Diceros bicornis minor: one gene and its partner. The protein of the gene in region 1 interacts with the protein of each later gene in a pairwise test. Links are inferred from orthologs where the notes say so. Each region holds a gene or a part of one and is shown on either strand. Other genes may lie near its edges.

Evidence for each region.
Region 2: the proteins of CDK1 (region 1) and CDKN3 interact in a two-hybrid assay, tested with the Homo sapiens proteins (2 studies listed by BioGRID and IntAct). The link is inferred for Diceros bicornis minor from reciprocal best matches to the Homo sapiens genes CDK1 and CDKN3.

Annotation. Positions count from the first base shown.
Region 1 is NC_080745.1:44,102,950-44,118,804, reverse strand, and holds the start of CDK1 (cyclin-dependent kinase 1), read left to right. Parts: upstream 1-7,155; 5' UTR 7,156-7,243; exon of another isoform or gene 7,244-7,257; intron 7,258-9,364; 5' UTR 9,365-9,389; coding exon 9,390-9,426; intron 9,427-15,564; coding exon 15,565-15,721; intron 15,722-15,855. UniProt on the Homo sapiens protein: Plays a key role in the control of the eukaryotic cell cycle by modulating the centrosome cycle as well as mitotic onset; promotes G2-M transition via association with multiple interphase cyclins.
Region 2 is NC_080763.1:4,566,373-4,582,239, forward strand, and holds the start of CDKN3 (cyclin-dependent kinase inhibitor 3), read left to right. Parts: upstream 1-7,859; 5' UTR 7,860-7,928; coding exon 7,929-7,937; intron 7,938-7,995; exon of another isoform or gene 7,996-8,110; intron 8,111-10,108; coding exon 10,109-10,191; intron 10,192-11,492; coding exon 11,493-11,548; intron 11,549-12,066; coding exon 12,067-12,111; intron 12,112-15,146; coding exon 15,147-15,369; intron 15,370-15,867. UniProt on the Homo sapiens protein: May play a role in cell cycle regulation. Dual specificity CC phosphatase active toward substrates containing either phosphotyrosine or phosphoserine residues. Dephosphorylates CDK2 at 'Thr-160' in a cyclin-dependent manner.

The DNA of each region.
Region 1 (15,855 bases):
ATTTTGCTTATAGATACAATAGCAGATGCATTCTAGGAATCTCAAGTTAGTCCCTTCCTTCCTTCCTTGTTTCTTCCTTCTTTCTTTCTTTCTTTTTAACAAGATAAGGTAATTGAAGAGAGTTATTCTGATTAAAGGTTTACTATATAGTGATCTTTGCACTGTGAAAGCTTTAAAAGTGTTAAAGGGCAATATCTTGAAATTGTAAGTAAAATGTTAGTGGCAGTATATTCCCTTTCGACGTGTGGTCATTGTAAAAACAACATAAAACTAGTTGGATGGAAATGTTTTAAAATAATCACACATCCCATCATACTGAGAGAACAACTCTGTGTCTATTTATTGCTAGTATAAGTTCATGCTTTTATAAACTCGTAATCGCTGTGTATATGTCTGGGTGTGTGGTATTTAATTAAGGGAAATACCATAATTTACCTATTTAACCATTTCCCTATTAGACATCTAGGTTGGCTCTAAATTTTTGTTATTGTAGAAAATGTTGTAATAAGCTTTTTCAAGTATATGACTTTTATTCATACAGAATTATTTCCTTATGATAAAATAATGTTAGAGGGAATACTAAGTTAAAAAAACAATATGGGCATTATAGTTCTTTAATGCTGTATTACTTTCCAAAAGGGTGTGTGTGTATGTATGTGCATAAAATATAGTTATATATAATATAGCAATATATATTTTAGGATATTATCTGTAAATGAGTATACTGAAGATAGGCTTTTTTTAACTTATCTAACCAAAAGTACACATCAGAATTAACTTTTACCAATCTTTGTTTTTCTTTCTTTCTTTCTTTCTTTTTTTTTACTATAATCAATAATAGACTTGGATTTAATGTACAGGGTTCAATTTAAAAGAAGAGTTTCCAATCAAGGCCATAATGAGATACTGGTTATTGTGAAATGGCTAAATGCCAACTAGTTTTCTGGTCTTACCAATCCAGCTTTATCGCCTTCTAAAAATGTGTACCTTGAATTTACTAACTTGCCTAGAGTGACAACCCACTAAATGTACTTGTCATATTTTTCTTAGCCATGGACTAACTGAATTAAGCCTCCAACCATTACAAAATACCGACAAGAAGGAAAATGGTTGGCTTGTAGCAGGTAAAGATGAGAGCTGCTTCATTTATTTTACCAATTTGTCTCTACTACCCTCTAGTGGAATCATCGTCACAATATCCTTACAGCGCTGCCTCCAGATTAAAAATACACACACAAGCATACAGGATTTCTAAATTTCAGCTTTGTCGAGTTAGTCTCCGTCTGAGATATTATGAACTCCTGGAGGGAATTACCTTTTAACTGGCATTCTGGCTTCTCTCTCTTCCCACACTAATCCTTTCTGTAAAGCACTGCCAGATTAATCTGTTTAAAGGGAAAATGTGATCCTGTCACTCCCATGCTCAATCAAACGAGAAAACCTTCCGTTGCTGCCCTTGGACTATTTGAAGTGCTGCTGGTAAACTTCCCACAGTGACTTCCAAACCTCTTCACAATTGGAATCCAACTCCACTTTCCACTCTCCTCTCATTTACTCCCTACACCCACTCTCCCCTCCAGCCAAATCCCACTGCTGGATGTTCTCCAAACCTATACCATATATTTCCTTTTCTGCCTAGAATGCCATGCCCCCCCCCCCAGTCATCTCTACTCCACCGACTTCCTTCTTCCATTTCTATTTGCCAAAGTTGTGCTCGTATTTCAAGAATTATTTCAAATGTATCCTATGTTCAGCTTTACCAAGCTCCCTTGGTCAATCCCTCACAAGCTAGGGACCTCTCTAACACTGTGCTGTCTGTTGCATATGTCTGTTCTCTTTGCCTGGACGTTCTACCCAGCTCCTGTCCTTCAATTCCCATTGACAACATCAGCTTTCCTTCCCAACCCAAGGATCACATCATTAATGAAGCCTTATCCACCTCCTCTAGTTTTTTTCCCCTCTTTTGTGACCCCATAGCAATTTATTCAAGTCTCTGTCCCAGTACTCACCACCAGAGGTATTTTTGTGAGAGACAGATAGTGATCAATACAATTGGGGAAAAGAAATCCTATATGTGAAGTTCTTACAGTGGGCTGGGCACTGATCTAAGTGAGCGTTACATGGATTACCTCATCTTATGCTCAAAATGACACAACTGGGTACTATTATTATCGTCATTTGAGTAAACGAAGCACAGAGAAATGATGTGACTTGCCCAAAGCCATTGATAATTTAAAGGCAGCAGCCAGGATTCAAAAGGATTTGAGGCCAGGTGATCTCTGGACCCGGATCGTTTAACTACTGTGATGGTAATTCATTCCAAAAGGGCTCTTTGTCAGGACAGCACCACTTGAATGTCTTTCCTCCTCATCTCATTTTGAGTCTGTGGTTTGAGCCTGTGGTTTGGGATTTCATTTTTGGAAAGAATCAAGTATGGTTCCTGTAGTAGGAAGTTTTTGTCATATTGAATAAAAAGGTTTACTTTCCTCTTTGAAATCTTTTTCTTCTTACATATTTCCCCATCTGGACTCTGAAGCTTTGGAGAGCAGGCCTACATTCGATTCTTGTTTGTATGCCCATTAGTTAAGCTAGTGCTTGGGACATAATAAGGGCTTCATAAAGTTATCAAGTGTTGAAACAGCAGATATCTTTCCCTTTTTGTCTTATGTGGATGTGGCATCACTTTACTTTGTATTCCCATAGTGCTTGGTTCAAAACACCAGCTGATGGAAGGTATTTAATTAATTAGCATAAAAGAAGTATAATCATTTGGTGTATATTTCTTATCTGTGCCCCTCCTCTTAAGCTTAAGGGGGACAGATAGTCTAATTCATATTTGTATCTTGAGTAGCCCCCAAGTAATGCCAGGCAAACCAAAGATGCTCAAATATTTGGTGAGTGGAACTGACAGAGTGTCATTTTCTGTCGTACTTCAGTATCATATCACCAGCATAAAATGATGCACAGCTAAGAGCCAGATAACTGATGTTCACAAGGAGGCCCTCGGGCGCTACCAGACTCTGAAGTGCCTGTCTCATTTTTGAGGAAACAGTAAATAATGTTCTGTATCATTTTAGCAGTGAGAGGATATTATTGTAGCTTAGCTCTTTGGAATCTGTCAATTACAGTAAACATTTAAAATGAAGCAGAATATTTCATAATGTGAAACCCCAGGCCTGCATCATTCCAGAGGACAGTTTAAGTCGAATTAGAACTTCATCTATTTCACACCATTAGAAAATGAACTTTTGGGGCCAGCCCGGTGGCGCAAGCGGTTGAGTGTGCGCGCTCCGCTGTGGTGGCCCGGGGTTCTCAGGTTTGGATCTCGGGCGCGCACTCGACGCACCACTTGGTGGGTCATGCTGTGGTGGCGTCCCATATAAAGTAGAGGAAGATGGGCATGGATGTTGGCCCAGGGCCAGTCTTCCTCAGCAAAAAACAGGAGGATTGGCAGATGTTAGCTCAGGGCTGATCTTCCTCACCAAAAAAAAAAAAAAAGAAAGAAAATGAACTTTTATGCTAATTCCTGAACTTATTGATTAGGGATGTATTCATAATTCATTGCCCTCCTTCATTGGGCTGACTTCACAAAGATAAAGATTTAAAGAATTACTTCTCACTATAAATTTTTAGTTCTGGTAGAATGGCCTAACTTAGGCATAAGCAATATTGTGATAAAATTTAAGAGGCGTTAGGAATCCATAAAAAAATACCAAAAATATCTCAGAGATCCAACTAAAACAACAGCCCTGATCATTTCTCCTGGCTCCAAATACGTGTAAACTGGTCTGCAGTTTCAAGTTAAATGCACCATGAATCTAATGAAGCTTAAGTGTCTGGGTTCTGCCTTTGCACAGGCCCCTTCCAGTGCTCTGAGAGGGGAGTTCACATGGTCATGTTGTCATAAAATGTATAAAATAAGATATTTTAACCACAATTTTTTTTTTAAAGATTTTATTTATTTATTTTTTCCCCCCAAAGCCCCAGTAGATAGTTGTGTGTCATAGCTGCACATCCTTCTAGTTGCTGTATGTGGGACGCAGCCTCAGCATAGCCAGAGAAGCAGCGCGTCGGTGCGAGCCCGGGATCCGAACCCGGGTCGCCAGCAGTGGAGCGCGCTCACTTAACCACTAAGCCATGGGGCCGGCCCTTAACCACAATTTGTTGATGCTGCTGTTTCTTTCCACTTCAGCTCCCCCTCAGCCACATTTCCCCACCTGCCCAGTGGCATTGGCGGGACCATGACCATTGCTGGGATTCAGCTCAGGATAAGTTAAGTGAGGATACATTTAGTTCAAGATTAGTGGTATCTAGTTATTTATCCACAGCACTCCCAAGTTATTGCCAGCAGTCCTAAATAGGAATAGCTTCTGAGAATACTCCCTCTATCCATTCTGCTGACTCTCCTGGCATCTGGAAATAAAGGCACAGGGTCAGAGATCTTATCTGAACTGGAACTAAGTGGGTAGTGGGTAATAGAGGAGAAGCTAATCTGTGGAAAACTCTTCCAATTATCAGATGTGTAAAATTACATCATTACCTCATCTCAACTGAACTTCTCTTGTGTCAGGAATACACTTGTTAAGACAGCATGAACAATTATAAATGCATCAGACAATTTTTGGAATGTGGAATATTTAGAATCATGCAAATTTAAAATTTTAATAATTCCTGTGTTTGTAGGGCATAAACTTAGAGCAGTAGTATAAACAGCTCAGATGGGAAAGAAACTTGATGTTTTCTCGAATTTGACAGAAATTCTGTTATATATGATATAATCAATAAGGAGATAAAAAGCCACAAAAACGTTTTTGAAATGACTAGTCATAAAAAACCAATTCAGATCAAATTAAAGGAAGTTAAAGGAAAGACTGAATTATCTTTTTTCTCTCATAGATAATATTACAAAATTATGTCATATAAAGAGATAAAGAGCTCATCGGCTTGGTGGACAAATATAGATTCCAAAAATTGTAGCCCACAAAAAATGTAGGACAAAAGGCATTATAAGGACGTGTCAGGCAATTAGTAAAATATAATTTTTTAAGGATTTTGTGATTTTATGGTATTTTTCAACTTTTAAAATTTTGTAATCTTATAATTTCTTATTCTCAGTATATATTCCCCATCACACTTAATTTTGCATTCTTTTCCTTAGAAAGGGCCCCCAAATGACGTACACTTAAGGCCTCATGGAACTTGCATCTGCCTTTGGCGGTCTGTGGCCACACGGATGTCCCCATGGTACCTCACAATGAAATATCCAGAGTGGCACTTCATCCTCACAACTGCCCCTCAGCCTCTCTCCAGAATGGTACTGGCATCGGCCCTTTGTTAAGCCCACACCCAAGTCATGCCTGATGACTCTTTCCCCCACCCACCCAATCCACCACCCAAGTCTTGTGGTCCTAGCTCCTCAAAATATCTCATCATCATTTTCTCCTCTCCAAACTGACCACCAGCTCCCCTAGGTCAGCACCTGTTGGGATTGTGACAGAGTCCTCCTGGCTCTGGTGCTACCTCACTGTCCCTCCTCACATCTCCTCGTAGTGACTGTTCCCTCCTAACTCCCACATCTACATCACTCCCCTACTCACATCTTTTTTCAATTCCATCCTGCAGTCCAAATCCGTTAGCATGACCCTGAAAGGCCCTTTGACATATGGATATTGCCTAACTCCCTAGCACTGTTTCTCTGACCCCTTTTCCAGCCCCCAAACTCCATTTATGTTCCAGCAATACTGAATTAATTTCAGTCCATCAAGCATGCTTATTATTTCTTCACAATGGACCAAAAAGCTCTCCCCGCTCATGTGTCTGCTTGGCAAACTTCATTCCTCAAGACTCAGTTCAGATGCCCCCACTGCTGTGAAACCTGGCCAGAGCCCTCTCCCCTTTACCACACTCATGCTGCTCCTAGTAACTCTCTGCTCTGTGCAGAGCAGCCTTTACTTATTGCACTTGAAGCACTGGCTCTCCACCTAGATGGGAAGACTCACATCTGTTCACCTGGTGTCTTTGATCCTCATTGGTCCCTGGGTGGATGAATGAATCTCTTCTCCCTATCCCATCCTCAGTTCCTGAAATTCCAATAAGAGATTGAGGTGGGTGGACACATGTGCATTTAAAGTATAGATACCAAAATGTTAACAGCAATCTCTCTTTCAGTGCATTCCTCATGCAATTTCCCCTGCTTGGAAGGCCCACCCCACAATTCTTTCTCCACTCTTTGTTCAAATGTCGCTTCCTCTGTTTGAATTACTAATTTCCTCCTCTAGTTCTCATATCACCTCACAGCATAAGCTACAACATAAGTGCCAGAAGAGAATTCCAAGTAATCCTTGTGTCCTCTCACCTCCAACACCTAGACCAGGAATTGTGTCTGACTCAGTTTTGTGTCTATAAAGCACAGTGTTACATGTTACACGTTAGAGACACTGAATGCAAGTTGGCCCAAAGTGTAATAAACTGTATCTGCCAATATCATAGCCTGAATAACCACTGAAACTTTAAAAAGAAAGATAATTGAGCTAAATTGAAAAATCTGGCATCACAGCTGTGGAAGCTTATGGTCTTCTTTATGTTGAATGTAAAATGGATATAATGAATTACTAGGTGTTTTTGGATGACATAAATTGAATTTCTTGCTTAGGTCTCCCAGAGAGAAAGATATACATTGTTGACGATGTCTTTGAGATTTTTACTACCTCCTTCTTAAGGTAACTGAAATGTTCTCCTTCAGCCCAGCTCGAAAACCATCCATTTAGAAAAAGACAAATATACACTAGCTTTAAATATTAGACGTGAAAGTAATGGAATTTTGCTATAAGTGTAGTATCACTTTGTGATGAGCTATTTGAGTACAATAAATTTTAATTGTGCCAATATTGGGAAGGGAAAAAAACGAACCTAGCAGATTCTTGATGACTAGAAACAGTAGGACGACGCTCCCCTGGGATCAAAGACAGCGCTTGCGCTCAGACTCAGTTGGCGCCCGCCCTCCTGCTTTTTCTGCAGCCGCCGTTTCCTCGTTCTTTCGCGCTCTAGTCTCCCGGGAAGCCCGGCCCAAGCGTAGCTGGGCTCTGATTGGCTCCTTTGAAAGTCTACGCGCTCCCTGACTGGTGGATTCGGGCCCCTTTAGCGCGGTGAGTTTGAAACTGCTGGCGCTTCGCTTCAAAGCTGGCTCTTGGAAGTTCTGGGGAGAGCGACGCCGACGTGGTAGCCGCCGCGGGATAGTGAGCCGGTAGACTTGCTGGGGTCAGGGTCATGCCTTGGGCCGTCGACTCGGCAGGGCCGGCTCGGGGGCCTCGGAGGGGGATATTGAGGAACCGGGTGCTATTTAGCAGGCTGGGCTGGGCTGGGCAGCAGGGGTCTGCGTGGGGCCAGGCCGGGCTGGGCCTTCATCTGGGGCCCAGGGTCTGGGCGTCTGAGGGACGCCGGGGCCTGGCTTTAGAGAAAGGCTTGGGGGAGCCCAGACCTGGCGGGGTTACTCCGGGAAGGGCTGGGGCTGCCCTGGCCTCGGAGTTGCAGTCTGGGGTCGCGGTCGGTTCTCAGGAAGAGGCCGCCGACCTGGCAGAGGAGGCTTTCGGGTCACAGGTGAAGCCAAATCCGTGCAGTGGTTCTAGGACGCTGAGCGCCTGCGCGGTGCCAGGCTCCGTCCTAGGCCCTGCGGCTCCCGGCCGCCCCTTGTGCGCTCTGCCCTCGTCCCCGGGGGTGGAAAGCAAGACCACACCTGGGCCAGGTACCCACTCCAGTCCCTAAACCCAGGCCATCCCGGAAAACCGATCCGATGAACTAACTTGTGGGCTTCTGCGGGCTTGCCTCTGTGCCCCTGGCCCTTGCCCACTCAGGGCCTTTAAGAACGCTTAGCCAAGGCATAGAGCCAGGGGGAACTTGGATTTTTCCCCTTTTTGTTTTAGGCTTGGTGGTTTGGCAAAAGGTGAAAAGCTAAGACATGCCGAGTGATAGATGCATATGTGTGTGTGTTAATATCCTTCAATCAATGTTTATTTAATACTGAAATTACTAACGTATACGTCTTGCTTCCTCTAAAGACCTGGAGGTCTCTGTGGGTAGGAGATTAAGCCACGGGTATTTTACATCCTGAGGCCAGTAGTACAGAGCCCTAGAAGTCATTCTAAAGCTGCATCCTTGGTTTAAAATTGTTAGGACAGAAAAACGGAGGGTGAGTAATTGAACCCAGCTTTGAAATTGACTTAGCTTTTAGCTATTTGTTCCAAGTGAGCTCTACAATTTTATTGTGCTTTCCACAAATTAAATCTGCATATTGAAGAAAGATAATTATCCTAATCGTCATTGCCATTTTGTAAAATTTAAAAATTTTAAGATTGGCACTCATGGCCAGTCTAGTGCAATTTTGTTCATTTAAAAAGATTTATCTCTACTTATTTCTGGGATGATTTTGAAGATGAATGTGAGAGATAGACCTTAAGGGTCGGTTACTCAGAGTGACCTTGATCACTGATGTTATCAGTGATGAGTGAGTCAGAAAATCAAGGTAATTATGCTCTGGGCCTCTGAAGTTAATGTTTCAATGGCCAACTTATCAGCTGAGGAAGTCTTGAGTGTCTGGTTGTCAGCATTTCAGCTCTTTTTTACCATTCTTTGTGATTCAAGTATATAGTTTTTTACTTTGTTCTTGACATTGTGTAGGGTGTAATTAGAATTGTATCTGTGGAATTGCACCTTTTCTTTTAGGGTGCTTAGTGATAAGTCCTACTCTTGTAAAAAGTACCTTGAAAGTCTTGATCATATTAGTGTATGTGACTTCTAAAAACAGGAGAAAGACTAAAACTGTCACTTGAACAAGTTTAAACACTTATATGCTTTTGCTGCCTTAAACACTCTTTCTAATGGATGAGCAGTGTGACCACATTTTAGCTCATGTCTTTAAAAATTGTTTCTTTTGTATTATCTTCGTAAAAATATAAAGCAGTGCAAACTCAGTCAAATAACATATTTTTTGAAATATTTGGGTATAACTGGCACTGGTGCTCCTCAGAAGTGTTACATAAAGAGAACATACTTCTGGTTTCTGTTTGGGAAGAATATGTAAGTTGATGTCTGAATTTGAGGGTTAATTTGATTGGAAGAAGCTAAATATTTATGTTGCTAAATATACAAATATTTCCAATGTTTTAAGAGCTAAGAAAGGTGGGAAAGTCTTACTGTAGGAGTCCTTTCCCTTGTAAATATTGTTTTAATATAATAACTAATATTACAGAAAATTAATACTGCACTAGGCATTGTGGAAAATGCTTTACAAATAGTATCTCATTAATAACTTAAAACCACCCTTTGAGTAAGTGGCATGTAATCAAATCAGTTTTTCCTCTCATTTTAGGATCTATCATACCTATTGATTAACTATGGAAGACTATATCAAAATAGAGAAAATTGGAGAAGGTGAGTGATTTTAATAATATAAAAGTTTTAAAAAATGATTTAATGATGCTATAATGTCTGTGACATGAAGACGTAAATATTTATTAAAGTCCAAACTTTAAGGTATTTTACAGTTCTAATGTGCTTTAATATATATGTTCTTACATAATAACTTAAACATAAAAATGTTTACATTTCAAGAGAATTGAAATTATTCTGATACGACTCCCTGACAGCCTCCTCCTCTATCCTCCCTTAATCTTACATTCTTCTAATACTAAATACTTAAAGCGATGTTTGTATTTTGAAAACACTATTGATATCTTGTATGGGTGTTGTAGGAGAGAGGTTAGGTTTCATAATGTACTTTTAGTCTCCTACAATTATTTTAAGATAATAAATACTTTTACCTAAACTTTCTAAATTGGTTGCAATAATTCACTATTAAACTAATTTAAATAAATTTTCTATTTAGTTACCCTAGGTTTAAATGATCTGTCATGTGTACATGTTTAAGCTATTCTAAAACAGTAACTTGTATATAATCACTCATTCCCTTTCTGTTGTACTTGCATTAAAGTTTTTAAAGAATGTTATATGGCATAACGAGGGGTAAAAATATCCTGGCATAACGAGGGGTAAAAATATCCCGTTGCCTGTTTTTTTGTCTTTCCCTTCAGAATATCTAAGTTTCTGTATAGGAGTCTTGATATTAACATTCTAAACTGTCCAGGAACAAATGATACAACTTATACAAAATAATTTGCTATTAGAGGCCAATTCATGTAGGTTCTATTTGAGGAACATTTCCAACTATATTTTAGTGTACTCCAAAACCCTACTTATACAAGAAATACTGCAAAAAAGCTAGGGGAGGAATTCTGGAAGGAATTTAGTAAGGTAGTAATGACAAGTTTGGGTGGTGGTTTGCTTGGAGATAAATTCTTTTTTTAAAACTTAGAAATACACGATTTTTATTTTTTGTGAGGAAGACTCACTCTGAACTAACATTCATTGCCAATCCTCCTCTTTTTGCTGAGGAAGATTAGCCCTGAGCTAACATCTGTGCCCATCTTCCTCTATTTTGTATGTGGGACACTGCCACAGCATGGCTTGATGAGCAGTGCATAGGTCTGCGCCCGGGATCCGAACCTGTGAACCCCAGGCCACTTGAAGGGGAGCAGGCGAACTTAACCAGTACGCCACTGGGACAGCCCCCTATGATTTCGTTTTTTGAAAAATTAATTTACTTTATTATATCCACTCAACTAAGCTAATTTTGCTACTAATTTAAAAATAAGTTTGCTACTAATTTAAAGATAACTTAAAAATAAGTAATTAGACATTAGATACATCTAATGTCTTTCTGCTTTGTAGTTTTTCTTAAATCCTCAGAGAATTTCATGTATTGATTTTAGTTTGGAACAAAAAGAAGCATTCTTAAAGTGTAAATGTATTTTTCTTTAAAACGCTGGAACTCCAAACTGTATACAGGAGACTACAGATTTGACTCTTGAGAAAAGTACTTGAATCGCTACTACAGATTTGTTGGTGCTGTCAAGTCGATTCCGACTCCTAGTGACCCTGTGTATAGCAGAGTGAAACCCTGCTTGGTCTTTCTGGCCATCCTCTCACCTTCCGGCTCTATGTCAGATAATGCTCTGCTGCTATTTATGGGGGTCTTCCTGATCAATTTTTTCAGAAGGGCGGCCAGGCCCTTCTTCCTGGTCTGTCTTAGTCTGGAAGCTTTGCTGAAACCTGTCCACCATGGGTAACCCTGCTGGTATGTGAAATACTGGTGGCATAGCTTTTAGCATCACAGCAAGGCGCAGCCACTGCAGTAGGACAATCAACGGACAGGTGGTTTGGTGCCCAGACCTCGAAATGAACCCGGGCTGTGACAGTGAGAGTGTGGAATGTTAACCACTAGACCACCAGGGCTGATTGCTACTACAAATAGAAGCAGTTAAAAATATAATTTCAAATGTAGTATATTACATACATATAGTGGAGTCACAAGATCCCATTTCTACCAATGGGACAACCATAAACCTTTTAACTTCTCTGGATCTCAGTTTCTCTTTCTGCAAACGGGGATAATTGTCCCTACCAAAAAAGATTATGATTATACAAGGAGATAATGTATGGAAAGGATTTGTTTGAGTGCTTTAACTCAGAAAACCATCAAATGTTAACTATTTGTTATTATTACTATGACCACTGTTTCCACGACCATCAATGTCGTAGCCCCCTTGCCAGCCTCTTCCAATTCCACTCAACTTGCTAATTTGGATTTCTTGGACATCCTCACATATGCCCTGTTCTTTGACCTCTGGGTCTTTGGCAATGCCTGTTCTTTCACCCCGGAAGCACCCTCTACTGGCTTCACCTCTCATCTCCTTGCTCTAGCCCAAGTGCATTTTGTAGTTCCCTTTTCATTATCCTTAATATGCTTTTTCTTTGTTACGCTGTAAGCTCCAGGAGAGTTGAGATTTTTCTTGTTCACAACTGTTTGACCAGTGCCTGGCAATAGTGTCCAGCAATAGGAGATACTCAAATTTTTAATAACAACTTTATCTGTTTTTTTTGTGTGTGTTTTTCTGAAATCTGTCTCTTCTTTTTCTGGCTTATATTGTCTTGACTACTCCAGTGCCTGGCTGTTTTGGATTATGTGCTGGACATTGTTTTTGAAAAAAATAACTTGTAGAAATAATTTAAGGCATAGATAATATCTTCCACACAGTATTTTCTTTAGCTCCTGCCACGTACCTGGTCAAATTCAAACATTCAAATGATGATTTTAAAAGTTATAGTTATTCCCTCAGCTTTTCATTTTGAACATTTCCAAACCTACACAGTTGAAAGATTTATACAATGAACCTGTAATACCTTTTGCCAAGATGTTAGTGTTTTGTCACATTTACTTTATTGTATATGTGTGTTTTAGCATTTTGTTTTTCTTTTGACCCATTTAAAGTAAGCTGTAGAGATGTGCTTTGTTTTTAAATACTTCTGCATGTATCTTCTGAGGATCTAGCCAAGGTCATGCATTTCATTTGATGGTTAATGTCTCCTTAATCGCTTCTAGTTTAGATTAGTCTCCCTAACTTTTTCCCCCTCGATATTGAGTTTTTTGACAACCCAATTCATTTCTTAAATACATCCAGACTTTTCTTATTTCAATTATTACAAAATGGTTCTCTGCTTTCTTCTGAATTACAAAAATCTCAGTGTTGTCACATTAGTCTTTGAATTCCTTAAGAAAATATCTTTTTGGATCATAGAGAGTAGGTATATCCATGATGTGGAACCTTACTTGGCATTTAGTAGGCATTCTATAAACATTTGTTGATTAAAGGTTTTCTGCTTACCATTAGTCTGTATAACCTGACCATATCTAACATTTTTTATTTTATAATGTTGAGTTCATTTCAGAGCACATACCATATATCTCATAAATAATTTTTTTTTAACAGTTATTTATTTATTTATTTATTTTTGTGTGTGAGAAAGATCAGCCCTGAGCTAACATCCATGCTAATCCTCCTCTTTTTGCTGAGGAAGACCAGCTCTGAGCTAACATCTACTGCCAATCCTCCGCCTTTTTTTTTTCCCCAAAGCCCCAGTAGATAGTCGTATGTCATAGTTGCACATCCTTCTAGTTGCTGTATGTGGGATGCGGCCTCAGCGTGGCCAGAAAAGCGGTGCGTCAGTGCGCGCCCAGGATCTGAACCCGTGCTGCCAGTAGCGGAGCGCGCGCACTTAACCACTAAGCCACGGGGCTGGCCCTCATAAATAATTTTTGATGATTAACCAGTAGAATCATTTTGCCCTGTTTAGGTAGAGTTCTGTTCCAGTAGTTCAATGAGAAATGATAATGGTTCAAAAAGAGTCAGAAAGAAGAGACCCATAGAGCACTTGTGATGTCTAAAATTCAATTCAATAAATATTAAATGTTGGCTAAGTGCTAATTAGTTGTTATGAGTAAATTTTAGGACCCGATGAGGTTGTACACTTGGAGAGGTAAGATACTAGAAAAAAAATTAGTTCTGAATTGCTTATTTGACTATATCATGCAAATAACTAATCTTCCTGAGTCTGCTTTAATTGTGTGCCAGATGAGTGTGCTACTGACTTACCCACTTTTGTGTTTAATGCAAGTATAATTTACATCTGAAAAATGAACAGATTTTTTTTTTCCCTTTTTTTTTTTTTTTTAATTGATGTTTTAATGGTTTCTAACATTGTGAAATTTTGGGTTGTACATTTTTGTTTGTCCATCACCCCATATATGACTCCCTTAACCCCTTTTGCCCACCCCCCACCCCCACTGCCCGGGTAAACACAGTCCAGTTTTCTCTGTCCATGTGTTGGTTTATATTCCACATATGAGTGAGATCATACAGTGTTTGTCTTTCTCTTTCTGGCTTATTTCACTTAACATAATATGCTCCAGGCCCATCCATGTTGTTGCAAATGGGACGATTTTGTCTTTTTTTATGGCTGAGTAGTATTTCATTGTATATATATACCACATTTTCTTAATCCAATCGTCAGTCGAGGGACACTTAGGTTGCTTCCACTTCTTGGCTATGGTGAATAATGCTGCAAAGAACATAGGGGTGCATAAGCCTCTTTGGATTGTTGATTTCAGGTGCGTTGGATAGATTCCCAGTAGTGGGATGGCTGGATCATAGGGCATCTCTATTTTTAATTCTTTGAGGAATCTCCATACCGTTTTTCATAGAGGCTGCACCAATTTGCATTCCCACCAGCTGTGTATGAGGGTTCCTGTTTCTCCACATCCTCTCCAACATTTGTTGTTTTTTGTCTTGGTGATTATAGCCATTCTAACGGGCGTGAGTTGGTATCTTAGTGTTGTTTTGATTTGCAAAATGAACAGATTTTATGTGTACAGAAGGTTACCTACTTTTAAGGATGGTTGTGAAAATTAAATAAAATCAGTTCTCCTTTAATCTGGAGTAATTTTGATTATCCAAAAGTCACAGCTAATCCAAATTTAATCAAAATAGTATAGAATTGATTTTATGTCAAATTATGTCTTAAAAATGACACCAGTATCTAGGAAGACAGACTATTGTATAGAATTTCTCTATTTAAAAAAAATTAGAACAAAGTTTATATAACATCAGTTTGCCGCTGACCAAACCATCTTTAATATTCTAATAAAGTCAGTAAATAATTTGTTAGTGGTTCTTAGCCTTTTTTGAAATATTGCTACCTTTGGAGAAACTGATAAAAGCTATAGAATAGATCTTGTCTCTAGAAAAATGCACTCTAATCACTTTTGAAGTTACACTGATGTCATACAAAAATAATAAAAGCTATTCAGTAAAATTTTATGTACAGGTAAGGGGTTCAAGACCTCCACAAATTGTCCAATCCCAGTTTAAGGAGCACTTATCTAGGGGATTATGGGTATCACGAATATGAACTTGTTTTAGCTAACTAGTCCATCTCCCTTATTATTGTCATTTCCAGTCCCTGTATCCACACACCCCTACCCCCCCGATCCCCTCTGTTGACGCTGTTGCTTCTTATCTGAAGCCTGTATGTCAGAATCAGTCTGAATGGGTGTGAGGCTTTCCTACTCTATAGTAGATAATGTGAACTTTAATAGATTTAATAAATATTTAATAAAATATTTTATCTCCATTCTTTTCTGGATGAGGATTGTTGACTATATATCTGAAATGCCATAAAGCACTCTTATACAGAGTTTTCTGAAAGTGTCACAGTGACTCCTGTTAAGTATTATTTCCTGAGCCCAAATCTTAACACTGTATTTTATGCCTGCCTTATTGTTGGGTGGGATAGTTGAGAGGAGATAAATTCCAATTCACAAAGGGTCCATTTTCTTCTCTAAAAAATGTGCTGGGAAATTACTGGTAATTTAAATGTATGGGAAGCCTGTGATGCCTACATGAATTTTATTTCTAAACTACAGGTGTGATAGGTTGTAGTTACCCTCAATTTCTTTGTGGAAGTGATGAGGCTGTAGTAAATATGAGTAAGATACTTCCTATCTGGGCACAGCAGACATTTGTATTACGTGACACCTTATGGGATTCAATCATTTTTTAAAATCTTAGTTCGTGGAGGGTGTCACATAGCAGGCATTTACTTTGTCTATTTCAGGTACCTATGGAGTTGTGTATAAGGGTAGACACAAAACTACAGGTCAAGTGGTAGCCATGAAGAAAATCAGACTAGAAAGTGAAGAGGAAGGGGTTCCTAGTACTGCAATTCGGGAAATTTCTTTACTAAAAGAACTTCGTCATCCAAATATAGTCAGGTATGACCATTTTTCCTCATACTATTTCACATGTGAATTTCAATGTGGAAATTTTTACATTTTGCATTGTTTCTGGTCTAACCTTGCTGAGCAGAATAGAACCCTACTATTTTTGTTATTTGAGAATGCTGGGC
Region 2 (15,867 bases), on another chromosome or scaffold:
AGAGTCTCTGAAAGAATTAGTGTTTTCTAACAATCCATCCAACACGTTAGGTTCAGAACATGATTTTCTGATTAGGCACAAAACTCCTTCTGGACTAAGAGGCAGATGGCTGCTGTAAAACTCTCGCAAGCCCCCCAGGTGTTTGCTGCGGAAGCTGAAAGGGGCAAAGGGATGTGGCCATATCCTTTCTGGTCAAGTTTCAGGATAAAATAGATTTAAAGGACAGAACTGTAACCAGGATTTGAACACCTTGGGAAGGGATGTGGTATTTGAACAACATCCTTCCCAGACTAAAACCCACTCAGACACGGATTGTCCTTCCAGGCACTGGGCAGGCTGGTTTATATTAGCAGCCAAATGCATAATTGCCAGGAACTGGCCAAATCCACGGAGACACCAGTCACTACTGAATGCTGAAAAATGTATGTAATATACCGTATTAACTGTAAGCCTGGCTCTTTTAATCAGATCTGAGTCCCACAGTGGGGATTTCTGCACAGGAGGAAGATGTTTACTGCCATCTCCCATTCCGGGAAGAACACAACTATGATCTGGTTAGTCTTGCCAATTTCTGTTTTATATGTTAGGTTATTAATATGGATGTTTATAACATACATGTTTCCAACTCATTCTGAATTCACTTCAGTATGAAGTGATAAAAATAATGCCCTTTCTCTTTATTTTAGATTATACCGACAATGAACTGGGTATTACTGAACTACAGATTTAAGAGGATCACCCTCTTCTCCATTCCTGGCAGATTTCTCAAATTGGTTTCCCCAAAACCAAGTTGCGATGAGATGGGGAAAAGGGCCTCTCAGAAGCTGCCTAAACCCAGCCCCTCCGGGCTCGCAGCAGCTGGGACAGGTGAGGAGCCCAGCTTCAGAAACTGACCAGACTTCCTCCTAACCTGAAGATAGAAAATTCTGCCAGCTGTTCAGGCTCTCTTTCCCAGCTTCTTTTATGTAGAGCCTTGATTCCTCAAGTTCAGAAATCTGAATTTCCCAAAAATGGATCCAGCCCCAGATAATTCTTTCATACCAAACAAACTCACCAGGGAATTCTCTGAGCTCAGAATTCTGTCATTTCATTCATTTCCAAGTAGCAATTTCATTCTACACGCAGCAGATGAGGGGCTTGCAATTCAGGTTACGTGGTTAGGTGATTACTCCAAGACCCCTTGGCTAATTGCAGAACTGGGATTTAACTTCAAAGGCCTTGCTCTTTCTGCTAGAGCATACTGCCTTCCTGGTGGGAACCCAGCAGGCAAGTGCAACAGGAGGTTACAAAACAGCTTCCAGAGAGCAGAGTGCACTGATGGAGGGGCAGGGCAGGCGACAGGGTAGGACAGGCCACATGGAGAAAGCTGGCAGTGGACAGCAGAACCTGTGTGACTGAGGGTCAGGAGCCAGAGTCCAGGGCAGGCCAGGGATGGGGAAATTGGCAAGAGATCATTAGGGCCCCATTCAGAACTAAGATATGAACAAAATAGAAACTGTCTCAGGAACAGTAGAGAAGCCAGATTAGGAAAACTGGGCACAGGGTATACCGGGTGGGCTCACCACCGCAAGTATTAACCTCCAACTGAGTTGCAGAGCGCCCTACTCCAGCTCTTTCCATCTCCCTGTGAAAGGAAGAAACTGGCTGGGAACAGAGCAGAGATGAGCCTGCAGGTGGGGCCAAGTGGCTGCCAGCCACGGGGCTGAGAGGAAAAGCAGGGGCAGCAAACTAGATAGGTCACTGCAACGCCAACACCAGCCTTCTGAGTCCAAAATTCTTTCCTACATGTTTTATTTCTTGACTGTTCTAAAATGTGGTTTTGATTCTGTTTTACGTCTGGAAAACTTTCCTAAAGATTGCTTGAGAAAGGGTGACCATATAATTTACCACTCAAACGTGGACACTTTTGAAAGTAAAAGGGAGAGCTGCTAATGCTTGTGCCAGCACAACAGTGATAGACCAGCACGGACCCAGGCCCACCTGCAAGCAAGGTCACCCTAGCTTGAGCCCAAGCACGTGGGACTCACGCAGCCTGGGCACAGCTGGCAGAGGGTGGGTGAGTTAATCTTGCCAGGACTCTGGACAGGAGAGGCCAGAGGACTCGTGGGAAGTAACTCACCCTAAGGTAAAAGAAGTCAAAGTACACAAATTGGGTTCAATGTCATCAAGACAGACCCAGAAAGGAGGGATGATTCTCTGTACTGCCCACTGTTGGCCACACCCAACGTCCTGGGTCCCAGGACTTTAAAAAGCCAATAAAAAAAGAGCTGTTTAATTAAATTTTCCATGGGACATTGAGGATGAGAGGGTTAGCAAAATCCTGTGCCAGCAATGTCAGCAGCGACAGAGAAGTGTGGCACTTTGTTTGGGTGGGTCGTCAGAGTACCCCCACAGTCACAGCACCTTCAGGGACATCAGCATGGCTGCTGCTCCAGGCTTTGGCAGTGACCTGAGACATTACCCCAGCCAGGAGAGCAGGAGCGCCAAGACAGCAGCTGTCTTGCTTTTGTATCTCAGAGCATACGGGAGGTCATCCGTGAGGACTCACTGAGCAATTTGCACAATAGAGAGGGGATGCAGTTTCACATAGTGCATAGAGAAAGAACCAGAGAAATATTATTCCATAAAGGATAGTTAATGTGACTTGTTTTTCTTTTTTTGTGAGGAAGATCAGCCCTGAGCTAACATCCATGCCAATCCTCCTCTTTTTTTTGCTGAGGAAGACCAGCCCTGAGCTAACATCTATTGCCAATCCTCCTCCTTTTTTTTTCCCCAAAGCCCCAGTAGATAGCTGTATGTCATAGCTGCACATCCTTCTAGTTGCTGTATGTGGGATGAGGCCTCAGCATGGCTGGAGAAGCGGTGCATGGGTGCGCGCCAGGGATCCGAACCCGTGCCGCCAGTAGCAAAGTGCACGCACTTAACCACTAAGCCACAAGGCCGGCCCCTGTGACTTTAATTTTAGCCCAAGCTGGTGGTGCCTGGGGAACTTAAATAACAGTTCTTCCATCACAGTGTGAGGTGCTCACTGATGTTGTCTACATTGGGGGACCTTCCTAATTGGGGGCCACTCACTTCATATCAGTAGTTTTATGGTCTAAAATAGGCATGTACCCCCAAAAGATACACATTGCAATGATACATATATATATAAAATAATGCAGAAAAATATTTATACATGGTAATTAATACATAAGATAGAAACATTTTCCAAAAATTCCTAACATTATGAACTTCTGCTACCTCTTAAAGAATGACATCGGGGCCGGCCCTGTGACGGAGCAGTTAAGTGCGTGCGCTGCACCGCTGGTGGCCCGGTTCGGATCCCAGGCGTGCACCGACGCACCACTTGTCAGGCCATGCTGTGGCGGCGTCCCATATAAAGTGGAGGAAGATGGGCACAGATGTTAGCCCAGGGCCAGTCTTCCTCGGCAAAAAGAGGAGGATTGGTGTGAATGTTAGCTCAGGGCTGATCTTCCTCACAAATAAAAAAAAAAAAAGAATGGCATCTACTGATTCTCTCTGATATCCAACTGATTAGTGTTAGTCTTTCAAAAATTTGAAATTAGATACAGCTTTGAAATAAAGTGACTCACTCACGGAATGGCTAAAATGAAAAAGACAGACAATACCAAATGCTGGCGAAGATGTTGATCTAGAATTCCAAAACAGTGCCAGTGAGTGTGAATTAGTATAACTTCTTTGGAAAACTGCCAGTATCAACTAAGGATGAACACACGTACTTCCAATCCTAGTATAGACCCAGTAGCAATATACATGTATATTTACCAAAAGACATGGACAAGAATGTTTATAGCAGCACTATTCAAAACAGCCCCGCACTGGAAACTAACCAATGTCTATCAACAGTAGACTGGATAAATAAATTATAGTAGATTCACACAACAGAACACTGCCATGAGAATGAACAAGTACAACCACAAACAACAACATGAATGAATCTCACAAACATAAAGTTGAGCAAAAGAAGCCAGACACAAAAGATTCCATTTATATACAATTCACAAGCAAGCAAAATTAGGCAATAGGGTCAGAAATCAAACAGATGTAACGTTGGAGGGTGGGGGCTAGTGGACAGAGACACAAAGGAGGCTTCTGGGGGCTGGTAATGTTCCATTTCTTGATCTGGGTGCTGGTTACATGGGTATGAAATTTTATTGAGCTTATCGTTTGTCACTTCTGCTACATTCTGCTAGTTAAACTGGTCACTAAGGCCAGACCGTACTTAAGAGGAGTGTACTCCACCTGGCGTGGCAAAGTCACACTGCAAAAGAGCACGTGGCGTGAGCGACATTGTTATGTCCCTTCCAATTATAAATACAATAGCACTTTAAATTTTAAATGTTTAATAAATTTTACAATATACTCCAATTATCCACTGCAAATTAGAACTCAGCCTCATTCTGGGGTAAAACAGAAAACTTAGGAAGGTAGAGAAGAAATTAAGAGCATCAGCAAGCAAAGCAAACGGGACAAGGAAGACATTCCAGGTTAGGCCCCATTCCTTCCCTGACCTGGAACTGTGACCAGAGGAACAGGTACATTTATGGGGCAGGCCCAGTTACGTGCCCAGCAAGATCCCATGAAAGGAAAGGGGTAACCCACCAAAGGGAGAAGCCATGGGAAACCACACATGCCTACTGCAGGTGTCACATACTGTATCTGATCATCATCAAGACGACAAGAGAAATTCTCAAACTCGCCTTCACGAACCAGGAAGTACATCCTCTCCAAGTTGCATTCAACTCTATGATTCCAGTGTTCTCTTCCAACACACACGTCAAATCCATTAGTATTAATATTAAAATATTTTTAAAATATGGATCTAGTTGTAAAACATACATCCAAGTGCAACTACTGATGGCAGTTGTGTTTCATTTCTCTTTGAGCATCTCTCAAAATTCTCATCTGTCTGGGAACATGTGTTAACACTTCTCCCTCTGGTAGTTTGGATAAATCGTCCACATTGTTTTGACCATATACATTTCTGTTAACAGCCATGAGTCACACACCAAAAAATTAACTGAAGACGACAGGTATGGCAAGCTGAACATAAGCCCCGACTCCTCCGCTCAGGCGAGCCTCTTGGGGATTATTAGAGAGAAACCAGGTTACTATGATGCCATTTAACCAGACGGCTCAGCCAGAGGCCTTGTCAGTCTATGTGGGACCCTCCATAATGAAGGGACCGAGCCAAGCAAAGGAGAATGTTTTAGCATGATAAGGCCAGGTCTCTCACCTCAAGAAGTAGACTTAAAATCATGTTATTAAAAGAAATATATGTTTCTCTCATAGACTATATACCAGGGGTGGGCACACTTTTTCTGTAAAGGGCCAGAGGGTAAATTTTTAGGCTGTGCAGCCATACAGCCGCTGTAGCAACTACTCCACTCTACTACACAAAGAGTAGAGCAAACGCCACCTTCAGCAACACTGACACAAACGAGTGCAGCTGTGTTCCAACAAAACTTTACAGAAACAAGCCTGTGGGATTTCGCCCGTGGGCCATAGTTTGCCAACCCCCGGACTGGACCCAAAAACCCTACATCACAGAGGTGAGATGCGTTTGTCTTTGGGGAGTGAAAGAGTAAAGCCTGCACACAGCCCTGCTGGTGGAGAGAACAAACAGAAGTTGAAACACTCCCAGTTCCCCCCAGCCTGTCACCTCCTTCCTACCACAGTACTGGAGCCGGCCTCTCCTCTCTGCAGAATCAGCAGGAGCCAGAACAGGTGGAGACCGTGTGCACAGCTAGTGGAGTCCAGAGGGGGCAGAATCTGGATGACACACGAGGGGGCTGGCATTGCATTAGTTCCCGGGAGGAAGGTCTGTTCTGAGGAAATGGAAGGGACACCCGATGATGCAGATTAAACAGCTGTGTGGGGACAACACTGGGGGCAGTGGAGAGAAGGCGAGAGTTAGGGAGTGATGGAGCATCAAACATCCTGAAGCCCACCTGGAAAGGACTTGTTCCCCTGCGCCATACAGAGACAGGAATTAGCCCACCTAGAGCCCAGGCCCCAAGCTTTCTTTGGACCCTCTCTTGAATCCTTCAGAAAAGAAGCTCTTAAGCCTCTGCTTCATCTCCTACCACTCTCTGCCTCACTCCATCAGCCTCACCCACACTAGCCTCCTTGCTGTTCCTTGAACACACCAGCATATTCCCACCTCGGGGCCTTTGCACCTCTTTACTCTTCAGACAGACTGAAAACTCTTGCCATAAATATTCAAATGGTTCACTCTCTCTCTTCATTTGGATGTTTCTCAAATGACATCGCTTCAAAGAAGCGTTCCTTAACTTTTCTATCTAGAACGGCACCATCATCAGGCTCCACTTGTTTCAATTTTTCTTCACAGCATATATCACTACCTGACTGTCTCCCCCAGCAGCATGTGAGCCCCATGAAGGCAGAGACTTTGTTTAGTTCATGCCAGTATTCCCAGCACCTTGAATAGTACCTAGGACACAGATGGTACTCGACATATATTTACTGAATGAATGGATGAATCAAGTCTAGTGTGTCTGTGATGGCTAATTTTATATGTCAACCTGGCTGGGCTATGGGACCCAGATATTTAGTCAAATGCTATTCTGGATGTTTCTGTGAGGGCGCTTCTCAAAGAGAGTAACATTTAAACTGGTGGACTTTGAGTAAAACAGACTCCCCTCTATAACGTGGCTGGGCCTCATCCAATCAGCTGAGGGCCTGAATAGAACAAAAAGGCAAGAGTGCATTTTGCAGCAGATGGCCTCCAGACTTCATGTGCAGCATCGGCTCATCCTGGGTCTACAGCAGACTGCCTTTGAACTCCAACTGCAACTCTTCCCGGAGTCTCCAGCCCCTCAGGCCCTCCTACCATCAGATTTTGGACTCACTAAGCCTCCACAATTATGGAAGCCAATTCCTTTAAATAAATCTCTTCATGTATATATCATATTCTTTGTCTCTCTGGAGAACCTGATTAACACAGTCTCTAAGTCAAACTGTGCTATCTTCTTTACTAAGGAATTCTTCCTAATAGCTCTGTACCCACTGGTTTTCACAACCTGAGACAGAGAGCTGAAACTTCTGCATACTTTTGTCAGATTTGCAGGTAATGTTGCTTCAGGTGACTTCCTTCCCCATGGCCAGCCTAATGGGGACTGGAGAATGGGGGAGAAAATAATCAAACACATTTTTTAAAGATTATAGCCAATTATGTAGAAACACTGGCACTTAGAACCATCTGGAGATTTTTTATCTTCCCTTCGTATGCTTCTGTTTCACTCATATTTAGTGAATAGGAATGTTGATCTACACCCTAACCTGTCTAGGTCCTGGAATGGTAAAAAACATAAAATATCAAAGATACAAGGTATGTTTATAATCTGGATTTTTAGTCGTTTCCATAATATTTGTACGACTAGATATGACCATAATTATAAACTCTATGAGACGTGGTGTGTTTTCACAAGACGCTCCAAGACAGTGCTCCCCCCATGCCTTAAAATATAAAAAAATTTCAGAAAACAAACAAATTTCCCTTCTGTGGTACCACTTTGAACTCCCGCCATGACAAAGCGGGACTCTCCAGCATCCCCGAAAGCGCTTCCGCCCTCCCCGCTCCCCGCTCGCAACGGGCGGGAGGAGGGCGCCCTCCCAGCCAATCAACGTTCAACAGGCCCTCCTCCGCGCGTCTTTCAAAGGCCTCCTAGCAACCAATGAGCGGTTAGAGGCCGAGGCGAGGCCCGGGGGGGCGGGGTAAAACCAGGGAGAGGGTCTGATTGGCTCCTAGGAGACGCCGGGCCCACCGCACAGAAGGATGAGCCAATGAGCTGAGCCGAGGGGCGGGCTCGGCGCGGGTGGAGGCCGAGACACCGGTGCTGCCGGGGTAGGCGGTGGCCGGTCAGGACGCAGGGCGGACAGTGATGAAGCCGGTGAGTCGGCCGAGGCTTGGAGGGGCGGAGCCGCAGGGGCGGGAGCGGTGCCGAGGCCAGTTCTTGGGCCCGGGGACAGCGCAGGCCTGGTCGGGCATGACTCGCAAGTAACCGTCCTGGGTCGGGAGGTGGCGCTTCCTGGGACCGGCGAGGGCGACGGCTGCGGAGGGCAGGTCAGTGGCGGGCGCGGGGAGACGGACGCTCGCTGTGCGCCTGTCGTGGGCTGAAGCTGTCGCCTGCGGGGTCTCCTGCGCCTCACGACAGCCCTGCCAGAGAGGGCTGAGGCCCGTCCTACGGAGGAAACTGAGGCAGAGAGAGCTTAGGTGTCTGCCTGATACCCCGGCCTTAGAGGATGTCCGGGCTCCCTGCGCCTCCCTGGGAGCAGTCCTCACCGCCGATGGGAAAACGTCACCAAAGACGATTGCCAGCCCCCCCCCGTGGGTGTGACACCACTGTCACCATCTCCCAGGGCCACCTGGCATTGCGTCCCATTCCCTGGGGTTCAGAATCCCCGGGCCTGAGGGAGCGGAAACATGCAGCCTGTTAGAACTTGCACACCTGGCTGGGGGAGCCTGAGGGAATGGGCCACACAAACTGAAAATCTTTAAAAACTGCTTTAAAGAGAAAGAAAGAAAAAAACAGAGGCAAGGAGCTGAAGCCCCTGACTCGCATCACCTACCACCGGTGCTGACAACCTATTGAAAGGCCTTCATTTGAGTTGAGTTGATAATAATAATACAGATAGATGCGAAGCAATCAAATCCATAGCCTAAATCGGCTCTGTAATGTGATCTTGCCATAACAAACAAGACCGTCATAGAATAGAGCTCCAGAGCTAGAAAGGACATTAGGTGGTCACACTTGCTAATCCCCATGTTCCCATGTGGAGGGACATCCCCTGTCCTTCACTCTTGGCCTGCTTCTCCACCTGTCCCCAGAAGGGGAAGAGTGAGTGATCTGATCACACAAGTAGCTCAACCCTTTCTTCCCTTCTCTGCAGAGAGTACTTTCTGGGGTGCACTCCGCCACAATGGAGACTTGGGTTGTCCATCACTAGTCCAGCCTAAGACTGGGTGGATAAATCCAATCCTGGATTGAAGAATTGACAAGCCCACTTGACCACAGCTTTACAGCCACATCCTCCATTTGACCCTCAGTAATAAAACTAACATATTGATCTCCATTTGCCTCTCCACTATCTTCTCTCTCAGTTGGTTCCAACTAAGGAGTAGAAGAAAGATGTGTTTTTCACTTGTCCTATTTTTATTGGTCCAACAGTCTTCCACGTAGAAATGCTGCCTACATGCAGGATCGAGTTCCCCCTGCTTAGATGAGCATGCGTATTCCATCCCCATCTCCCTATTCGATGATTCACAGAGCTGGAGGCAGGTTATTCACCTATATTCCACCACCCCCTGCACCCTGCCAACCAAACTACGAGGCTGTCTGGGGTTGTTTGTTGAGAAATAGGGTAGGTAAAACTGCTTCTCTAGCTTCCTCTCCTCTGTTCTGATATCCCAGTCCTGAATACACAAGCCTTTCTCCTTGTGCCTTAATTGCCTTAACTTCCCCCTATCTGCCTAAAAACCTCCTGATCATCCTCCAAAATACAGCTACTGCATCTCCTCCGGGACGCTTTCTCCAGCTCTCTAAGCAGTCACTCCCTTCTCTGGTCTCAAGTGCACAGTTTATGCTTCCATTTTAGCGCTTACAACTCTCTTCTGTCGTCCATGCACACAGCTGTCTCTCACTGAAGGCAGGCTAGTTATGTTATGGATCCTTGCCTCTCCAGAGCTTGGCAAATGAAGGTGTCCAAGAAATGTTTGTAATGAATGAATAAATCTCCTCACTTTATAGTTGTGGAAAACTGAGATCTAGAAAAAACTGAAGTAACTTGTCCAAGATTATACAGTGAGTGGCAGAGCCAAGACCAGAAGCCAGATTCCTTGGCTCCCAATCCCACGCACTTGCCGCTCCCTAGTGCTGTAATTATCAATAGGATGGTAAACAGCAGTCACTTATCATTGATGTTGCTGCTCTCTGATATTCCAGGTTGGTAACTGAATAAATTGCAACCATGCATTGTGTGTTTAAGCAAGGATCAGGTATACTAAGAGTATAAGTAAATATTCTTCTTTACAGTTATTTAACATAACTGATTTCTTTTGAAGCCTACTTCAATGCAAAGAAGCGAGTTTGATTCATCAGACGAAGAGCCTATTGAAGATGAACAGACTCCAATTCAGATATCATGGTATGTTAACATTTCTAATCAATGATGAGCTAAAATACTTAATGTGTACATCGTAATCTTTGTAGAATGTAGTCCACATATTGAAAATATTTACTGATTCTCTTCTGCTGATTATATAATTCTAATCTTTAAGTGATCTTTTAACTCAATTGAGAAAACCATAGTAGAAACAAGTAAGTAAGGAGTTGAGATAGGATTGGAATGATCTCCCATTTAGTACCAAAATCTACTTATTCTTTTCCAACAAAAGAATAGTGTACCAAACACAGGATAAGATATTTAATCATTTATCAAGTCAAATCCTAGAACTACTTGCGTCTGTCTTGCATCTATCGGCAGACCCTGTTTAAGATAAAAGCCACGTTACTATAGATACAATGACAAAAACAAAAGTTTCTATATAAAATCAACTTCCAAATCTTGGGAATGACTTATGGTTACACCAGATTTTCTACAACCAGCAGTCAAATGCTTTCTCTCACCCCTGTAAATGTAATAATCTCTCTCCTTAAGAAAGCACCGTGCCCTACTGTGGAAGAGAAAAAGGAGCGTAAGTGTTCTTGTCCAGAAAGTTCTTTTGTTCTGCCATCAAATAGCAATTATCTTTCATTTCCCCTTCTAACTCCCCTTTTAAACTCAAAAAAACTTCTAATTTTCAGTCAGGTGGTATGTATGTGATGCCCGGTTTCCTCCGCAGTCACCTCTGTCTTGCAGACAAAGTGAGCCTCTGCCCCTTGGTCCCTGAGTACTGTAAACTGCCAATAGGATTTCTTGAAATTATTTCTTTTTAACCAAAATCCATTACAACAAAGAATGGGTGGCCTGTGGTTTTTATTATATGAAATTTTATTTATTTAAGGAAGTCCTACAAAGAAATCTTAAAATAGTAATGTAGAATGAGTGCTGGGGATGAGATTGCCAGTTGGCCCTTTTCCAGCTTATTTACGTAAGATTACTAACACAAATATCTCAGGTAACATACCACAGAGTGCCTTAAGTACAATTTATACTAGCTGCAGGCAATCTAGGCATTATCATCTTTAAGGTAAGAATAAATTAATTTGCCATTTTTTAGACGTAAATTGTAACAATGCCCGTAAGTCCCTGTTTTAAAACTTCCAGTTTTTCTAGGCCTTTTTGTGACCAACACATTGCTATTTAACTATGAATTTTTGTTTTATTACTACTTAAAACTTTAAAACACCCTTGTTCAGTGCCAAGTGCACATTTGGTTAAACTGAATTTCCATTTACAACTCTTTTAAAACTGGACCAAACTTGATACAGTGATCCTCTTTTCAGGCTCCCTCTGTCGCGAGTGAATTGTCCTCAGTTTCTTGGTTTATGTGCTCTGCCAGGTAGGTGACACTACAGTTGGCTTCCTGTGGATATATCTGAAATAATTTTTTTGTCAGCTAACAACATCATTCTCTGTACTGAGCAGTAAGAGAATTTCATAGACCATCAGCACTGGGGAACTCACTTTTGGAAGCCCTCCTTGAGGGCTCTCAATAAAGGAGCATAGATCCACTCTTCCACCCCTCCACACCCACACGCACAGTTCTACACTTCTGAGTGACCTCTCTTAAGAAACCGTGAACACTGGGGCACGATGTGAGGCTGAGGACGACAGCCAGGTACCAGTTACAGAAAGGAAACAGAAGAAAGAATCCTCAGATTAGGAGTTTCTTCTGCTAGGATCCCTAGAATATTTTCTTAAGAATATAAGAAGTTGAAATTCACATTCAAAATGGAATTGAAGCATATAAATGATCATGTGGAGTGACTTTCTACAGTACACTATATATATGTTTAAATATGCTTGTTATACATGACCAAAAACTGACTTTTTCCCTTGCCTCATTACTACCTATAGGTTGTAAATTTAAAGATGTTAGAAGAAATATCCAAAAAGATACAGGTAGGTGTAAAATGAGACAACCTTATTAATAGGTTTTGTTAAAAATAATACTTAAAATCTCTTTGTCAGAAAAAACAAACTGTAGTCTCTTCTCAATTTTCCAAATAAATGTTCAATATTTCATAAAGTTTCAAACTATGGACTTATTCTAATATGTGAAGAAGTATTTGTGAAGGGCTCAGAGAACTCATCATTTACGAAACATAGCACTGCTTTTCACTGATTGTTGTAGTTCTTTTATACATAGAAACTGCATTCAAGGTTAGAATGTGTAAGTTGGAGGGAGAAAAGTATGTAAATAGAAAACTGACACTGCCCTGCCCAGATCTTTGAACATAACTGTTCTTTATAGACTTGCCTGTGATAGTAAAGATTCAGCCTGAGCTGGAAACCCAGAGGTAGAGTGAAATTGTCCATCCTGGATAGAAAATTTAGAGAGCCAGCATCTAGGTGGAAGAGAGGGAATAGAGTATAATCTTCACATGCTCTAAGATGTTCATACCACTATAGCCTCAAGTCTAATAATCCTACAAATACCCTGATAATCTACCTCAATTTGTAATTTACATATTGCATGATGCCAACAAATTTGGATTTTCAAAATGTTTTATTCTGGTTGGCCTGGTTATCTCAAGCCTAATAGTCCTATCAATGTCCTTATAACACACCAAAGGAAAATGTACATATTGCTTGATTCTGACCAGTATAGATTTTGTACATCTTAAAGTTTTTTCCTGGTTGTTCTGGAATATCAATTTGCTAATATACTTTCTTTAATTTATTTTTTACCTACCAAAGAAGACTTAAAGAGGCCAATCAGAGGCTGGCCCCGTGGCTTAGCCATTAAGTGCACGCACTCCGCTGCTGGCGGCCCGGGTTCGGATCCCAGGTGCGCACCGATGTACTGCTTCTCCAGCCATGCTGAGGCTACGTTCCACATACAGCAATTATAAGGATGTGCAGCTATGACATACAACTATCTACTGGGGCTTTGGGGGAAAAAAAAAGGAGGAGGATTGGTAATAGATGTTAGCTCAGAGCCGGTCTTCCTCAGCAAAAAGAGGAGGATTAGCATGGATGTTAGCTCAGGGCTGATCTTCCTCACAAAAAAAAAAAAAAAAAAGAGCCAATCGATTAGTTGACCCTTGCAGTATTTGTACAGATTTTCTGCTTTAGAGATACCCACCATGGTAGGAAATTTCCATTTGGGTAACATTTAAGTCATAAGCAAAATGTAATTTAAAGCATTGGTTCAAAAACCAATCTTGTGTATTTTGGAAAGCCCTATTCACTTAGTATCTTCATAAAAGGGGTTTCCAATTTTTTACCAAACCTTTTTTTCTTCCATTGAAATCTTAAATGGAATCCAATATACAAAACAGATGACAATGTTTGATGGCAGAGACCGTGAATCTCCCTGCAGCAGTGCCTGTGCTTCCTCCCCAGAGTCCTTTCTAGGACTACTGTGTAACAGAAATTATCCAGTGTGTACAAGAGGCAAATAGAAAATTACCTACTCTCTTAAAAATGGTTAAATATGTTAACTACAGATTAAATCCTTTTACAAGTACAAAAATATAATAGTATATCTAGAGCAGCACTATCCAATAGAACTATATTGGGAACCACAAATAAAAGCCATGTATGTAATTTTACATTTTCTAGTTGCCACATTAAAAAAGTAAAAACAGGTAAAATGAATTTTAATAATATATTTTGTTTAACCTAATATAGCCTAAATAGTATCATTTCAATAGGTTTTAAGTATAAAACAAATTATGAATGAGATAGGGGTTTTTTGATACTTAGTCTTTGAAATCATATATGTATTTTACATTTACACTACCTCTCAGTTTGGACCAGCCATATTTCAAGTGCAGGTCTAGAGATTCATGGGAAAAGGCACTTTGTACTTAAATATCTAAATGTCCTTGGATTTAGGAGATGGGAAGAAAGAGGGGGCTCAGATAAGCCCAAATTACTTATTCATTTTGAATCAAATGCTCTATAGTAAATATGGCCATAGGGAAGTTCCAGTGTATACAATGGTCTATAGAACTATTGCTTGGTTCATATCATTATAGTGAAATTAGCTAAGTTACATCATGTTAATACAGTTAATGCTGTATTTCCTAGAAACCTAGTGCATAAAATTAAGTACGTCATGGTGTGGGACAGTACAAATGTAAGGGAGAACGCGAGCTCTGGCACTATGGCTGTGCTGGAGAAGCTCCATACAGTGCTTAGGGAAGAACAAACAACACAGCGACGACCATAGCAAACAGGTTGATTTTGTGAGAAGAAAACATAAAAAAATGTGCTATCATTCCTTCTCAGGAGTTTATTTAGATGTATTAAGTGTTTTCAAATTTATTTTAAAGCAGTATTTATTATAAAAAAATTTTTTTCAAGAGCAGCAATATAATTTTCTTAAAATTCTATAAAAAGCATTTTGACTTATAAAGTCAGGTTTAATTTTAACTACCTTTGGGTCCAGATGTTTCTAATTCCTATTTTGTGCTTAGTGACTTGGTTTTTACCCTAGTTTGAAGACAGATCAGTATTGTTTTAAATTATCAATAAGCACTCAAATTTACAGGTTATCATTTTTTTTTTTTTTGTGAGGAAGATCAGCCCTGAGCTAACATCCATGCTAATCCTCCTCTTTTTGCTGAGGAAGACCGGCTCTGAGCTAACATCTATTGCCAATCCTCCTCCTTTTTTTTTTTCCCCCAAAGCCCCAGTAGATAGTTGTATGTCATAGTTGCACATCCTTCTAGCTGCTGTACGTGGGACGCGGCCTCAGCATGGCCAGAGAAGCGGTGCGTCAGTGCGCGCCCGGGATCCGTACCCAGGCCGCCAGTAGTGGAGCACGTGCACTTAACCGCTAAGCCACGGGGCTGGCCCTACAGGTTATCATTTGTTATTTACTTAGTTTGGCTTAAGAAACTTAACTCCATATTCTCCCTCTTGACTGTATTTAAATTTGTAATGTTTGTATGTGTCTATCCGTGTGTATCTTGGTCTGTTGGCAGAAGAACTAAAGAGCCATGGTATACAAGACATATTTGTTTTCTGCACCAGAGGGGAACTGTCAAAATATAGAGTTCCAAACCTTTTGGACCTCTACCATCAGTATGGAATTATCACTCATCATCATCCAATCCCACACGGAGGGACTCCTGACGTAGCCAGCTGCTGTGAAATAATGGAGGAGCTTGCGATCTGCCTTAAAAATAACCGGAAAACTTTAATACAGTACGTTCTCCTTTTCTCTAGATTACATGAGAAATGTCCCAGTCAAAGTGATTTCTCGAATTATTGCATCCTTATTCAGTTATTACCTACCTTATAGTTTGTTGCAAGGATTAAAAGGCGACAATGCATAAAATGTACTAGTACAATGCCTAGTACAGAGCAAGCACTCAGATATTTGCCGTTATGACTTTGAAGAGTAAGAACGATAAATGAATAGATTTGGAAATTTTTAGAAAAGGGTAACAGGCTTTTTTTCTTTCCTTTTGTTTTAGATAGTTACTAATAATTTTGGGATCCTCTCCCTCCCAAAAAGGTGGAAGCATCATTCTTGTTATATAATAACACCTTACTTACTGGTCAGCCTTTCAGTTGCTTAGTTGCTTCCAAGAGCAAGAAAGTCAATTTTTTAAAAATTAGCAGCAAAGAAATCATCCCTAAGCCATGAGTAATCCTAAAAACATGACTTGAAAATTATATTTGATGATATGAATTTGCTAC